3 linked regions of the Arabidopsis thaliana genome follow. The protein of the gene in region 3 interacts with the protein of the main gene of each other region in a pairwise test. Each region holds a gene or a part of one and is shown on either strand. Other genes may lie near its edges.

Region 1 (4,969 bases), on a different chromosome or scaffold from region 3:
CATTTATAACTCTCCATTTTCTTCTTTTTTTGGTAAAAGTTTGAATTAACTCTTCATTTTCATTTTAATTAATTCGCTAAAAACATAATAAAAACAAGAAGAGAATAGATGATGATGATACAGATGAGTGACTAAAATGGAAATTTATGCACTAAAATGGAAATATCCCTTGGTCCAAAGGTCTTTCCACCTTCTTCTTCATAGCTTAATCACCATGATTATGATCATATATATCTTTGACCAACCAACAAGAGTGGAGCTCTAACTAATATGTGTAGGTACCATCTTACATATCTCCATATACGCATGCATATCATTTTCGAACCAATTTAGAAGGTGATGTATATAATCAAAAGTATTTAGGATGATGGTTTATCGCGTGAACACCATTTTGTTTAAGTACGTGGTCATCGCAAGGTAACCATCTTTATTTTCTTGGGTTGATCTTCACTAGCTATATATTAACCAATTACATATGTATTATTTTGTACTGAAGAAAGGATATAATTTGTAATCGCCAAATGATTGAATTAGTATTTGCTAATTACAAAAATTTGTAGAAATCGCGATAATTATCAACTTTTTTACTATATCCCATCATTCTACTATTACGCAATGTTATCAATTGTACTAGTTTGTTTCATCCACTATGTAAAATCATTCAAACCCTAAAGTCGATGCTCATCAGCTCATGTATATGTATGTATCATGTATATGTACATAAGATATAAAACCTTTATAGATGTGCATGTAAAAGAATGGTAGATAGTAGTAGTAGGTGTGTAAGGAGAAAGATCTAGGGGGCTTCAAAAAAAGGAGAGAAAAGGACAGAGCATGTGAAAAGAGACAGAGAAACAAACAGAGGAGTGAACAGTCTTACTCTTTTTTTTTTCTATGCACTTAATGAACCCAACCCTCTCTGTATATTTCTGATTCTTCACATGTCTTCCTCTTCTTTTTTATTCCGAAAACTTTTCTTCAGTAAAAACCAATGCCGAAAAAAATACATAATAAAAACGACAAAATATCTAACATTTTTTATATAAAAAGGACAAAAGTACTTTCACTTCACTTGCAACCAAACAAACCTAGTCCCCTTCTTTATCCAATGGTCTCTCCCCTGCTCTCTATTTCTCATCTAAACACCCTTTTCTTTCTTTCTTATTTACCATTTTGCCAACTTATGTAAAAGATGTTAAGAAGAAAATGTGAAAATTTAGTAAAAATCTCTCTTTTGTATTGTCGTCAGAAACTGTAAAATAATCTTACTCTTTTTCAAGTCAGCATATAAGTTTGGTTTCTTCTCCCGAGTCAGAGATTCGTGCAGTGATGATACAAGAAGCTTATTCCGAATTCTTTTCATAAATACTCGTATTTCCTTCTTCTTTTTTTTTTTCTTTTTTTTAACATCTATCTGTTCTTCTTGCATCTATCTGATTTTCCTCTGTCTTTTAGACAGTAATAACAGAGCTCACTAAATGTAATAAATAAAAAAATGAGCTCAATAAAAAGGTAAATGGCACTCATTTTTAGGCCATCAAGTGTTGGGATACAGCTGAAATTAAAAAGGCGTCAGCTCAAAGGAAAAAATAAATAAAAAAGATTCCCAAAAATCAATGCACTTTTATAGAAAAAAATACACATAATTTCAAAAAATACTTAAATTTTGAAAAATAAGATGAAGAAAGGATTGAGAAGAGAGGAAAGAGTAGTCAGAGAGACAGGAGCATCAAGTGCTGCAGAAGAAGCAACAGGAACACTGGGCCTGAGTCTCTTCAGATTTGCCAGTCTTTATAGGACCACACTCTTCTTCTTCATCCCCCTTACATACATTTTATCTATTTTTACATTTTACAATATTGGATATTTTAATGTTGTTTTGATTTTACACTACATGGCAAAACTCCTTAAAAGCTCTTGTCCTGATGTGATTCTTTTTTCTTTTCAACACTGTCTAAATATCTCTCTCTTCTTTGTGATCACTCTTTGATTTATTAACTTTCTGATTACCATTCCCCCCAAAATAAACCCTACTAGAGTGTGACTAATTGTATAGTAATCTCTATTGTGTAATAATCTTTTATCTTTCCTCAATACAAAAAAGTAGGGTATATATATAAAAGAGGGAGTGGCCTCGTGTAGAGAAAGAACCTAGCTAGTGTTCATGCAATTTGCATCTGAGGAATATATGCTTAGAAAGAGAGAGAGAGAGAGAGAGAGAGAGAGAGAGAGAGAGAGAGATATCAAACCAGAGGAAAAGAGTGACAGAGAAAGTGGTCATCTTTGTCTGTCTCTGTCCGAAACTCAGGAGCCCTAATCTCTGAATCCATCAAGAAAGCTCTTTCTCTTCCTTCTTTTATGCTTCTGAATTTGCTACATATATAAACTATCTGAAGAAAGCTAGAGAATAAGATGATGAGTCTAAGTGGAAGTAGCGGGAGAACAATAGGAAGGCCTCCATTTACACCAACACAATGGGAAGAACTGGAACATCAAGCCCTAATCTACAAGTACATGGTCTCTGGTGTTCCTGTCCCACCTGAGCTCATCTTCTCCATTAGAAGAAGCTTGGACACTTCCTTGGTCTCTAGACTCCTTCCTCACCAATCCCGTAAGCCCTATACCTATACTTAATTTTCTTTCTTTCATGTTTTCTTTTCTTGCATAAAGTTTCAATCTTTTGTTGATTCTCATGCCCCCAAAGTTTTCAGCTTTATGTGTTTTAGAGTGATTTGGTTTCTGGTTAAAGTCTCTAGCTTTTTTTTTCAACGACCACTTTTAAAAACTCAGTTTCCACAGTCTTACTTTTAATGATTTTGGAACTTAAGGTCCTAATTAGGGTTTTACATCATGATTAATTTTAGGGTTTCGTTTTAATTAAATGATGCAGTTGGATGGGGGTGTTACCAGATGGGATTTGGGAGAAAACCAGATCCAGAGCCAGGAAGATGCAGAAGAACAGATGGTAAGAAATGGAGATGCTCAAGAGAAGCTTACCCAGATTCGAAGTACTGTGAAAAACACATGCACAGAGGAAGAAACCGTGCCAGAAAATCTCTTGATCAGAATCAGACAACAACAACTCCTTTAACATCACCATCTCTCTCATTCACCAACAACAACAACCCAAGTCCCACCTTGTCTTCTTCTTCTTCCTCTAATTCCTCTTCTACTACTTATTCTGCTTCTTCTTCTTCAATGGATGCCTACAGTAACAGTAATAGGTTTGGGCTTGGTGGAAGTAGTAGTAACACTAGAGGTTATTTCAACAGCCATTCTCTTGATTATCCTTATCCTTCTACTTCACCCAAACAACAACAACAAACTCTTCATCATGCTTCCGCTTTGTCACTTCATCAAAATACTAATTCTACTTCTCAGTTCAATGTCTTAGCCTCTGCTACTGACCACAAAGACTTCAGGTTCTGTGATCTTATCTTTAGTTTCTCTTGTTGATCTTTTATGGAAACTTTTATTGATGGATTGTTTTTTGAATTCAGGTACTTTCAAGGGATTGGGGAGAGAGTTGGAGGAGTTGGGGAGAGAACGTTCTTTCCAGAAGCATCTAGAAGCTTTCAAGATTCTCCATACCATCATCACCAACAACCGTTAGCAACAGTGATGAATGATCCGTACCACCACTGTAGTACTGATCATAATAAGATTGATCATCATCACACATACTCATCCTCATCATCATCTCAACATCTTCATCATGATCATGATCATAGACAGCAACAGTGTTTTGTTTTGGGCGCCGACATGTTCAACAAACCTACAAGAAGTGTCCTTGCAAACTCATCAAGACAAGATCAAAATCAAGAAGAAGATGAGAAAGATTCATCAGAGTCGTCCAAGAAGTCTCTACATCACTTCTTTGGTGAGGACTGGGCACAGAACAAGAACAGTTCAGATTCTTGGCTTGACCTTTCTTCCCACTCAAGACTCGACACTGGTAATTAATTAATCTGCAGACGTAATCTTATGATCTATGCTAATTATTGATAGTTTCAAAATTAGTTTAAATTTATTTTCTCAGGTAGCTAATTAAGTAGAGCTGGCATCAATGATGGATCTGCACCAACACACACAACTGTGAAATGTTGAAGAAGAGTCACATTTCACATCTATTTCCGTGGAACAATGAGACAAGACACTGTTTGCAGAATCCTATATGTATTTTTTCTATCTTTTTCTATGTGTGTTAGGTCCAACAAGAAAAAGTGATCCGACAGATATATCTGTATGTGTTCTCTTGCTTTCTCAAGAAATCAGATTTTATTTTACTGTCGCTGATAGCAACAAAAGAAAACATGACTTGATTTGTGAGGGGTATCGTTATATATAATTTATTTGTTTCTTAGGATGCAAGCATCTATATAGTTTCACACATATAATCTAGATTTTTTCTAAGGCCATGTTCTGATTAACTTACTTTAAATGTAAAACATTCATGCAGAGGAATAATAGTAGACTAGGTTGCAAATTCTGTAGGGCAAAGGATACGATTATCCGCAATTAGTTAAAGTTTTATATGTAAACACAGACACAAATAATCAATTACTATCTAAATGGCTGTATGTTGAGATTATCCGCAGGTTATGAAATGACGTTACATAGGCCCAAGTCTTGAATCACGCATTTACGAAACGAGAGTATGGTCAAAACTCTACATAATATGGCAAAACATTAAACTTATTATTATAAGAAGAAGAACCATAAATTTTGTTGTCGTTTATAGAAAACAAACAATCATATACAACTTTTGGTGTATGCTTCCTTCCATGTATGTGCTCCTTTAGCAAAAGGAAAGATGGGAGAGTTAAAAGACAAAACGTCATGACTCTTGATCCATTAATCCTTTTACGTGCGTATGAGTACTTGGAATCATTGGTCATTACCAACATTAATCTTATATTTTTAATATAAATCTCATACGTATAAAATATGTATGCTGAGAATTTTTAAA
Region 2 (4,871 bases), on a different chromosome or scaffold from region 3:
ACCTTCAGCTTTAAAAGCTTCATCGGACGGTGCAAAAACCGTCAAGCCTTTTTCAACGGCGGATTCGTAAGTCTTGAGTACTCCACTTGAGACAAGCAAATTAGCAAAGGTTTTGCAACCGGCTTTTTCGAGTAATCCGGTGATGTTTGACAAGGAGGCGGAAGGAGCAGGAGCGGTTAAAACTCCGGGAGCGATGATCGGAGCATCAATCTCGAGGATTGAGATGTTGTAAGGGATTTGTTTAACGGATTTGGTGTAAGATGAATCGAGTTTGGAACCTGAAGCGGCGGAGCCAAATCCGACTTTGCCTCCTTTAAGATCGGTGATGTTGACGAATCCTAGGTTTCCGGGAGCGTTTCCGGTGGTTTGGTAAAGTGTGGTGGAGAGAGTTGTGCCTTTGGAGATCTTGTGGAGTTTTTGTGGATCGTAGTAATCGAGGAGGACGAGGAGGCTTAAAGCGCTTTTAATAACGGAGAGTGGATGTTTTCCGGCGAGAGCAGACATTGCGCCATTGTTAAGGACGAGAACTGTAATCGTCGTGCGGCTGTTGATCTCGTCGGCGAGCTTCGTCTGAGAAAGGTAGCTGTTGAAGGAAGAGTAATCTGGAGAATCAGCGAGGATTTGAGTGATGTTGTGGCTACTCACGGTGGAAGCAAAGGCGAGGAGGGAGAAAGTGAAGGCGAGGAGTGAGAATGTCTGTGACGCCGCCATGATGAGACGGTTTTGAGTTTTTTCAAGTGTCAGTGTGGAGCAGAGGAAGTGGAGAAGACTGAGTGAGAAGAGAGATGAAGTTAAAAGAGAAGGATGATTGTTAACCACGGTTAAATTTTGATCATGGTTAGGTTAGAGTATTTGACTAGAGTTAATTTTGCCTTTATATTTTTGAAATGTGTGTTGTTTATAAGAAGTGAGTTGGGTTGGATTGGGGCCATGTGTTCTTTTTCGGACATAGCTGGAAGAAGAAAAGAGGCCATTCCATTTAATTGTCTTGTTGTTTATATTACACCAAAAAATTAGAGATTTGGGCTTCTTTTTACTCTTAGATATTTGTTTGGCCTAAATAAAACACTGGAGATTGTTTCTCGTTTTCTTCATCTAAATTGATCAATAGTGTCGAGTTTTATATGTGGTGGTCAGTGTATTCAGTAATGCTATCTATTTTGTTATCGAAAATGTTTTATATACCATAAATTGTTTGTGGATTGGTGTAGTGACCAATACAATATGTATCTTACTCAACAATGATTCAAACCTGACATTTCGTATAGTAGAAAACAATATATAAAGACCAATACATATAAATATAAAAGTATTGATATTATGTAATCATCTACAGTATAATATGTATGATTCAAATTCTATATATTTATTTCGGTTGCCGACGTTCATGTTCTACATATAAATAGAATTATCCACAATTCGGTGAGGACCAATATTGAATCACTGCTTCCCATTATAGGAATTTTTAGAGCTGTTAAAGCATTACTTTACACGTGTGGACAATATTTAAAAAACCACTAGTGAGTGAGTATATGATACAAGCATTACATGATCAAACTTTCCTTATATACTATAAATAAAAATAAAGTATTTTGCTCTGTTTTTATTTTCCTGCCTACTGAAAAATATAGATTTTAGAAATACAAAAATGTGACCAAGATGAAAAGGCATCAGGTGAAAGAGAAATGTTATAAGTAAAGGCCAATGAGAAGCAACAAATTTTGAATCATTAAAGCAAAAAAAAAAAAAAAAAGAAGAAGAGTAGAGCCCAACTTAATGGAGTAGTAGTAATGGGCCTTTTATGATAAGATGGGCCCATATAGAGGAATAAGAACGTGGAGATGTAATGATGTATAGTGGAGCAGCTGGACAGAGGAGTTAACAGTCTCTCTGTGGCATTGTTTAAAGAGGGAAACTCAACTTTTTTTATTGTCCGAAAAGTATTCAAATAAGGCTGAAAAACGCTGACGCATTTGTCAGAAACCTGACAACTGCCTTTAAATCTCTTCACACTCGCCTCTTCGTCTTTCCTCTGTTTTTCTTTTACTCTTTCTCTCTCTATTGAACAGTAGCGAGCAGAGCAAGAGATTTTAGTATCTGTTTGGTTTTGTTGTTAAAGCTTTTTCTTCTTGGGAGGTGGGTTTTTGCTTCTCTGTGTCGCTAGTTTCAAAAGCTGTCTCCTTTTTCTTGGAATTGAATAAAGCTTCCCCAAAAATCCAATTTTTGTTATGAAGATGCAGAGCCCTAAAATGGAGCAGGAGGAGGTTGAGGAGGAGAGGATGAGGAATAAGTGGCCGTGGATGAAGGCGGCGCAGTTAATGGAGTTTCGGATGCAAGCTTTGGTGTATAGATACATAGAGGCTGGTCTCCGTGTGCCTCATCATCTCGTGGTGCCTATTTGGAACAGTCTTGCTCTCTCTTCTTCCTCCAATTACAACTATCACTCTTCTTCTCGTAAGTAATTTGACATTCGAGTTTTCTTTTCAAGAAATTCTTAGGAGTATATGCGTGATAGTTGAGCTAGGGTAAGAAAAAGACACAATTTAGAAGATTTTAGACAACATAACGACAAGTCTTGGACCTCAGAATCTAGAGAAGTTTATGTTCTGATTCAACAGTTGTAAAGTTTGGGGTATTGTTGTGGAAATGCTTGATGGGTTTTATTGTGCTTATTTAACTTCCTGAACATGTTTTTGGCTTTTGGGTTCTGAGTTGGAGAAGTTAAAAGATTTACATACACAACAAACTTCTGTTGACTGAATTTGATTTTGTGCCTATTGGGGATTGAGTTGCAGTGTTGAGTAACAAGGGAGTAACCCATATCGACACGTTGGAAACTGAACCAACTAGGTGCAGGAGAACAGATGGGAAGAAATGGCGCTGTAGCAACACGGTCCTTCTATTCGAGAAGTACTGTGAACGGCACATGCATAGAGGTCGTAAACGTTCAAGAAAGCTTGTGGAATCTTCTTCTGAGGTTGCTTCATCATCAACCAAATACGACAACACTTATGGTTTGGATAGGTATAACGAGAGTCAGAGTCATCTTCATGGGACAATCTCGGGTTCTAGTAATGCGCAGGTAGTTACCATTGCTTCACTGCCTAGTGCCAGATCCTGTGAAAATGTCATTCGTCCGTCTTTAGTGATCTCTGAATTCACAAACAAAAGTGTGAGTCACGGCAGAAAGAACATGGAGATGAGTTATGATGACTTTATTAATGAAAAAGAGGCGAGTATGTGTGTTGGAGTTGTTCCTCTTCAAGGTATCATGATACCATCATACTCACAACAGAAAAATATCTATAGAATTCATTTCTTCATTGCTCCATGGATTGACCAGGTTCCATTATTTCATTACTAGGTGATGAGAGCAAACCTTCGGTTCAAAAGTTCTTCCCTGAGGTATCTGATAAATGCTTAGAAGCTGCAAAATTCTCAAGCAACAGGAAGAATGATATAATTGCAAGAAGCAGAGAATGGAAGAATATGAATGTTAATGGTGGTTTGTTTCATGGTATCCACTTTTCTCCAGACACTGTTCTTCAAGGTATTTTACCTTTGCAACCTTGGCTTATCGTCATTTCATAGGGATTTTCAGACATGACCTTCTGGGTCTTATATCTTGCTTCTTCGTTGTAGAACGTGGTTGTTTTCGTTTACAAGGAGTTGAAACAGACAATGAACCAGGAAGGTGCCGAAGAACAGATGGGAAGAAGTGGAGATGCAGCAAAGATGTTTTGTCTGGTCAGAAGTACTGCGATAAGCACATGCATAGAGGTATGAAGAAGAAGCATCCAGTTGATACTACTAACTCACATGAGAATGCCGGGTTTAGCCCGTTAACCGTGGAAACAGCTGTTAGATCGGTTGTGCCTTGCAAAGATGGAGATGACCAGAAGCATTCTGTTTCAGTCATGGGAATTACACTGCCCCGAGTTTCTGATGAGAAGAGCACTAGCAGTTGCAGTACCGACACTACCATTACTGACACAGCTTTAAGGGGTGAAGACGACGATGAGGAGTACTTGTCTTTGTTTTCACCAGGTGTTTAGAAACATAGAAATGTTGTCGAGGTTCAAATGATGTTTTTAGTTTCAATCTAAGGATCTTTCTGTGTTAGATGTTAGAAGAAGTCAAATCACAAAAAAATATCGAGACACGAATTTTAGCTAAGATTATATTGTGCTGAAATGAGATAATATATCACATGGAAAGTGCTTTTGCTAAACTTCTAAGACATTAGTCTCATAACATTAAATTACATATAAGCTACTTGTCCTGACTCCTGAGATTGGGAGAGAATACATCAAATATCAATTGAGGCACACACACCTTTCGGATCTGCGTTCTTGACAATCCATGGATGTTGCATGATCTTCTCAATAGAGAGTCGTTTGGAGGGATCCTTAACAAGAAGCTGCAAAAGATTTAAAACAACTATATGTTAATGCTTAATAACTAGTCAAGCAAGAGAGTCGTTGTGGGTATGCTTTAGCTTGGTTGGGTGTGTACCTGACTGATAAGATTTTTGGCTTCTTCTGAAACATTCGGTGTAAGAGGAAAACTCAGATCAATCTTAAGAATTCTGCATGACAGTGAATACAAAACGTCATCAGGAGCTGAGCTTCTGTAATTTTCTACAAAAGATAAAAAGTCTAGTCTTTTCTTACCTCTTGAATGTATCTTTTTGACTCTCGGCTTCGAATGGAGGGTTACCGTAGAGAAACTCGTAACACAGTATGCCTAAGGTCCAGTTATCAACTGCATAATCATGATCTCTATTTTCTACCATCTCAGGTGCTAAGTAATCCAAGGTTCCACACATTGTTTTCCTCTTGTTACTTGACTGAACTGACCATCCAAAGTCA
Region 3 (4,234 bases):
CCATAGTCTTAAAAGATTAACCTATTTTTAAGTTCTTCAAAATTATATCCATAATTCCCATATGATTCTCTTTTTCTCAATCCTCTGTTTTGTTTAAAGAAGGGTACAAAACAAAAGACTAACAGAGTGGGACGGCTACTACAAAAGACACGTTATCTTCTCTTAATATCAACATAAGGGATACAAAGCGAACATCATCTATAAGGACTACTGTTACCAAAAGATCTACACGGAGGAATCCGAAACTGCGATTACAAGGAAGGACTAACATCAAAGTCGTCACACTACTATACTGCCAATTCAAAAGGTCACTAGGATTTGTCTTAATGTTTTTGATATCAAATGCGTCATTTAATACTTCTAAGGATTTTATGGTGAAAGGAATCACATACGCACCATATTTCTCCATTTGTCCTTAAGATCGGAGGAATTACGAGTTGTGTGGAATATACCTTTTCCCATCTCCAAAATCTTCTTCCAAGGCATGTTTTTGTTGATTGTATCAGAAAATTTCTCCACTCCCTCCTATCCAAAATAAACATATACTATAAGTTTAAGCTAAAAGTGTATTTCAAGAAAAAAGTGTGGTGGTTTTACCCTCAACATCTTCTCTTCGTTGACTGTCCATAGTACCCTTTTTGGCTGATCATTAACAACAGCATAAGCTTCTCCGCAAGATTTCTCCATATCAATGAATTGATCTGTTGACTCGTCTAACTGGGAATTTCGAGCCTTAAGGTGCTTGACCAGTTCTTGTAATTGATGAAGGTTCTCATGTAGTTGCATTGGTAGTGAATTATCAGAACCATTCTCTAGTTGACTGTTTTCTCTCGTCATGACTATATCTCCACTCCTCAGCTCACTACATCCATATTGAACAAGGGTCTTCGCAGCTGCAACACCCCTTGTTCTCAAAGCCGTGGATCTAGTAGCTTGCTCCTTAAACCAACAATAGGGACAGTAAAAGGTTGCAGGATCTTCACAATCAAGCTCAACACACTTCCTGTGAACAGCGAGAGGGCATTCATTCCCAGAACAAGGTACTACACCATCGTCTGCAATATCGCATACAATACATGCGTGTTCGTTCAACGGCTCAAAGCTTCTGAAAGTGTCACTTGTCCCAAGGTAGTGGCGCTTCTTAAGAGGCACATTATCATAAGTGAAAATGTTTGGAGCAGAGTTGACGTCCTCATCACCACCATCATCACACTGAACAATACAATGAGCAATGCGCTTTTCTCTCACAAAGCCAATTTCTTCAACAATTTCACCTATCTAAGATAGAGAAGAAGATAAATCCAAGTAAGAGTGTTTACACAAAATTGAACTAAATCGACCAATTTAAGGTTATCTAAGACCAATTAAGACATAATTTGTTCTAATTACACAGTAAAAAATATCAAATTGTTCTCTAACGTATCACAAGCGACATCCGAGTAAAGACTAAAATTCGAGAAAAAATAAATTAAAGGTTTCTTCTAAAAGGGGTGCTTACATAAGGACTCTTGAGGAGAGCGATATCATCTTCATCAAGCGGGAGATCACTCACCATTTTTTTTCAGATTCCGAGTGAAGATTTGAGAAATTCGAAGGGTTTACGTGAGATTTCTTAACGAATAAGAAAAAGAAGCTACTGTATGTTACCGTTTGGTCTCTCTGTAAGTGTGTCTGAGGTTTCGAAATTTCGAATTTAGGCGAAGAAGGAAGAAACTGACTCAATGTAGTACTTTGCAATGTAACTTTCTCGATGGTCCATGGGCCTTAGAACCGTCTTAGGCCCAAATATGTCCTTTTTTCCCATTGGCCCAAATATATCCAAAACTTTCTAATTTGGTTAGAGGTTGCTCGTTGCTGTATTAATTAATGTTTTATGTTTTCGTTTAGAGTTTTGTAAAGACAAATTAGAGAGAGAGAGAGAGAGACAGAGGCATTTTTGGTCATAAAATCCACACAGAGGTGGTTCGACATCCAGGTGAATCCAAGTAATAAATTGCAGGATTCTCTCTCTATAATATATATAGATATAGCTTGCAATCATTTCCTGCGTTTGGATCGGTCTGGGTTTTGTCGAGGGTTTTTTGGGGAAGACGAAATTAGGGTTTAGTTGGGGCAAAGTAAGTAGTAAAGAAGAAGAAGATGCAGCAGCAGCAGTCTCCGCAAATGTTTCCGATGGTTCCGTCGATTCCCCCTGCTAACAACATCACTACCGAACAGATCCAAAAGGTTCCTTCTTTCTCACCCTATATCTCTCCCTCTCTCTTAATTTGTTCAACACTACTTAGGAGGCTCTTAGAGCTTTTTTGTACTGACAAAATCATTGGCTTCTGAGTGCAAGTAATACTCTTTTGACTGTAATTGGTGGCAATTAGGGTTTTCATTTGAATCTTTCTCGTTAATTCCACAACACTTGAGAGTCTGTTGTTGGTGATGATGAGAAGAGACAGTTTCTAGGACTAGGAAATTAGTAGATGCTTGGTGGGTCAGGAAACTTTGAATCCGGTTTTCAAGAATGGACATTGAAGTTAGATGCTTGCTTGATGTTGTTGTTTTGTACTTTCTCTTGGCTTGATGTCTTCCATGGTAAGATGATAGGCTGCATCGTCATTTCCTTGTCATTCTCTTTCCTTTGCTTAAACGCAGTACCTTGATGAGAACAAGAAGCTGATTATGGCCATCATGGAAAACCAGAATCTCGGTAAACTTGCTGAGTGCGCCCAGTAAGTCTCACCTTTTCTATCCATCTTCTTATGTCTCTTAGATAGTAATGGAAGCTTAGAATTACTATTATTAATGGTGAGGTTTATATAGTTATTCTATCTTTTGCTCTGTTATATTTTCAGGTACCAAGCTCTTCTCCAGAAGAACTTGATGTATCTTGCTGCAATTGCTGATGCTCAACCCCCACCACCTACGCCAGGACCTTCACCATCTACAGCTGTCGCTGCCCAGGTTGTTTGTGATGATAAAACTCAATTGCGATCTATCACAGAAATTTAATGTTGTTTGGGGGTTTGCTTACTGTTGGGTATGATTTCTGTTAGATGGCAACACCGCATTCTGGGATGCAACCACCTAGCTACTTCATGCAACACCCACAAGCATCCCCTGCAGGGATTTTCGCTCCAAGGGGTCCTTTACAGTTTGGTAGCCCACTCCAGTTTCAGGATCCGCAACAGCAGCAGCAGATACATCAGCAAGCTATGCAAGGACACATGGGGATTAGACCAATGGGTATGACCAACAACGGGATGCAGCATGCGATGCAACAACCAGAAACCGGTCTTGGAGGAAACGGTAACTCTCTTTACATTATTAAGACAATACTCAATCTCATAAATTGTAACTTGTATCCATTACTTCTTTCTTTGCTAACAGTGGGGCTTAGAGGAGGAAAGCAAGATGGAGCAGATGGACAAGGAAAAGATGATGGCAAGTGAAAAGGATCCAAAGAAGCTTTGTTTTGTTGATATTTAGGACTTGTGAGTCTCGTAAGGGCTTTTTGCAATAGCTTGTTTGAGTTTTTTAACAGAAGATAGACTGTGGAGTAGTTCCGCAAACCGTGTTGTAATGTATTGTTATTTAGTACAAGCTCGGATTTAGAAAACATCGTCATCGTTCATCTTATTCTGAAAATCAAAGCATTGAACTTATTATTTTCTCATTCCGGACGAGTCTTGACGATGAAATTCTGACGGCTAATGGGATTCATAACAACGGGAGGACCAGCGGTTCTTGGCCATGCTTGGAATTTCTCATCCGTTGCTGCCCACCATTCTTTGTTAGAGACAGTTCCTGGAGTAGTCCCTGAAATTTTCACAAGAAGATAACCATTAAGATCGTCCCTAACTTGAAAACACACACAAAACTAGATAAATCTTGAGCAGAACTTGCCTCCAAAGATCTTATTATCAGAGATAACTTTGTCGAAGATGTATGAGATTCCGAAAGAACCGATGAGAGCACCGATTATGTACTTGGCTTTACCTCCTGATGCCATTTTCTTCTAAAGCTGAAAGTGAACCATTATTACAACTTAACACTCAACTCACAAGAGGAGAAGCAACAAAGCTTATGTAAGGATTTAGTATTAAGGCCAAAAAAACACAGATCAAATTCAATTATTGAAGCTTTACTTATCAAGTTATCATATAACCAATGAAGACGGTAATTCAAAAGAAAAATAAAAGGGTTTGTAGAATAATTGATACGTTTACCTTTGCCGATTCAGAGA

What was found.
Region 1: the proteins of GIF2 (region 3) and GRF5 interact in binary tests that used the Arabidopsis thaliana proteins (3 or more experiments, as listed by UniProt).
Region 2: the proteins of GIF2 (region 3) and GRF9 interact in binary tests that used the Arabidopsis thaliana proteins (3 or more experiments, as listed by UniProt).

The regions. Positions count from the first base shown.
Region 1 is NC_003074.8:4,606,114-4,611,082, forward strand, and holds GRF5 (growth-regulating factor 5), read left to right. Parts: upstream 1-1,962; 5' UTR 1,963-2,412; coding exon 2,413-2,611; intron 2,612-2,890; coding exon 2,891-3,422; intron 3,423-3,500; coding exon 3,501-3,955; intron 3,956-4,039; coding exon 4,040-4,047; 3' UTR 4,048-4,384; downstream 4,385-4,969. UniProt on the Arabidopsis thaliana protein: Transcription activator that plays a role in the regulation of cell expansion in leaf and cotyledons tissues.
Region 2 is NC_003071.7:18,743,349-18,748,219, forward strand, and holds GRF9 (growth-regulating factor 9), read left to right. Parts: upstream 1-1,991; 5' UTR 1,992-2,228; coding exon 2,229-2,454; intron 2,455-2,795; coding exon 2,796-3,266; intron 3,267-3,364; coding exon 3,365-3,550; coding exon of another isoform or gene 3,551-3,591; exon of another isoform or gene 3,592-3,642; coding exon 3,643-4,055; 3' UTR 4,056-4,286; downstream 4,287-4,871. Other genes in the region: FLA8 (FASCICLIN-like arabinogalactan protein 8), read right to left, coding at 1-711; AUR3 (ataurora3), read right to left, coding at 4,310-4,420, 4,516-4,588, 4,674-4,871. UniProt on the Arabidopsis thaliana protein: Transcription activator that plays a role in the regulation of cell expansion in leaf and cotyledons tissues.
Region 3 is NC_003070.9:70,444-74,677, forward strand, and holds GIF2 (GRF1-interacting factor 2), read left to right. Parts: upstream 1-1,913; 5' UTR 1,914-2,139; coding exon 2,140-2,226; exon of another isoform or gene 2,227-2,471; coding exon 2,472-2,573; exon of another isoform or gene 2,574-2,643; coding exon 2,644-2,720; intron 2,721-2,843; coding exon 2,844-2,952; intron 2,953-3,044; coding exon 3,045-3,297; intron 3,298-3,378; coding exon 3,379-3,440; 3' UTR 3,441-3,653; downstream 3,654-4,234. Other genes in the region: AT1G01150 (Homeodomain-like protein with RING/FYVE/PHD-type zinc finger domain-containing protein), read right to left, coding at 397-525, 598-1,278, 1,499-1,555; AT1G01170 (ozone-responsive stress-like protein (DUF1138)), read right to left, coding at 3,662-3,807, 3,895-4,000. UniProt on the Arabidopsis thaliana protein: Transcription coactivator that plays a role in the regulation of cell expansion in leaf and cotyledons tissues.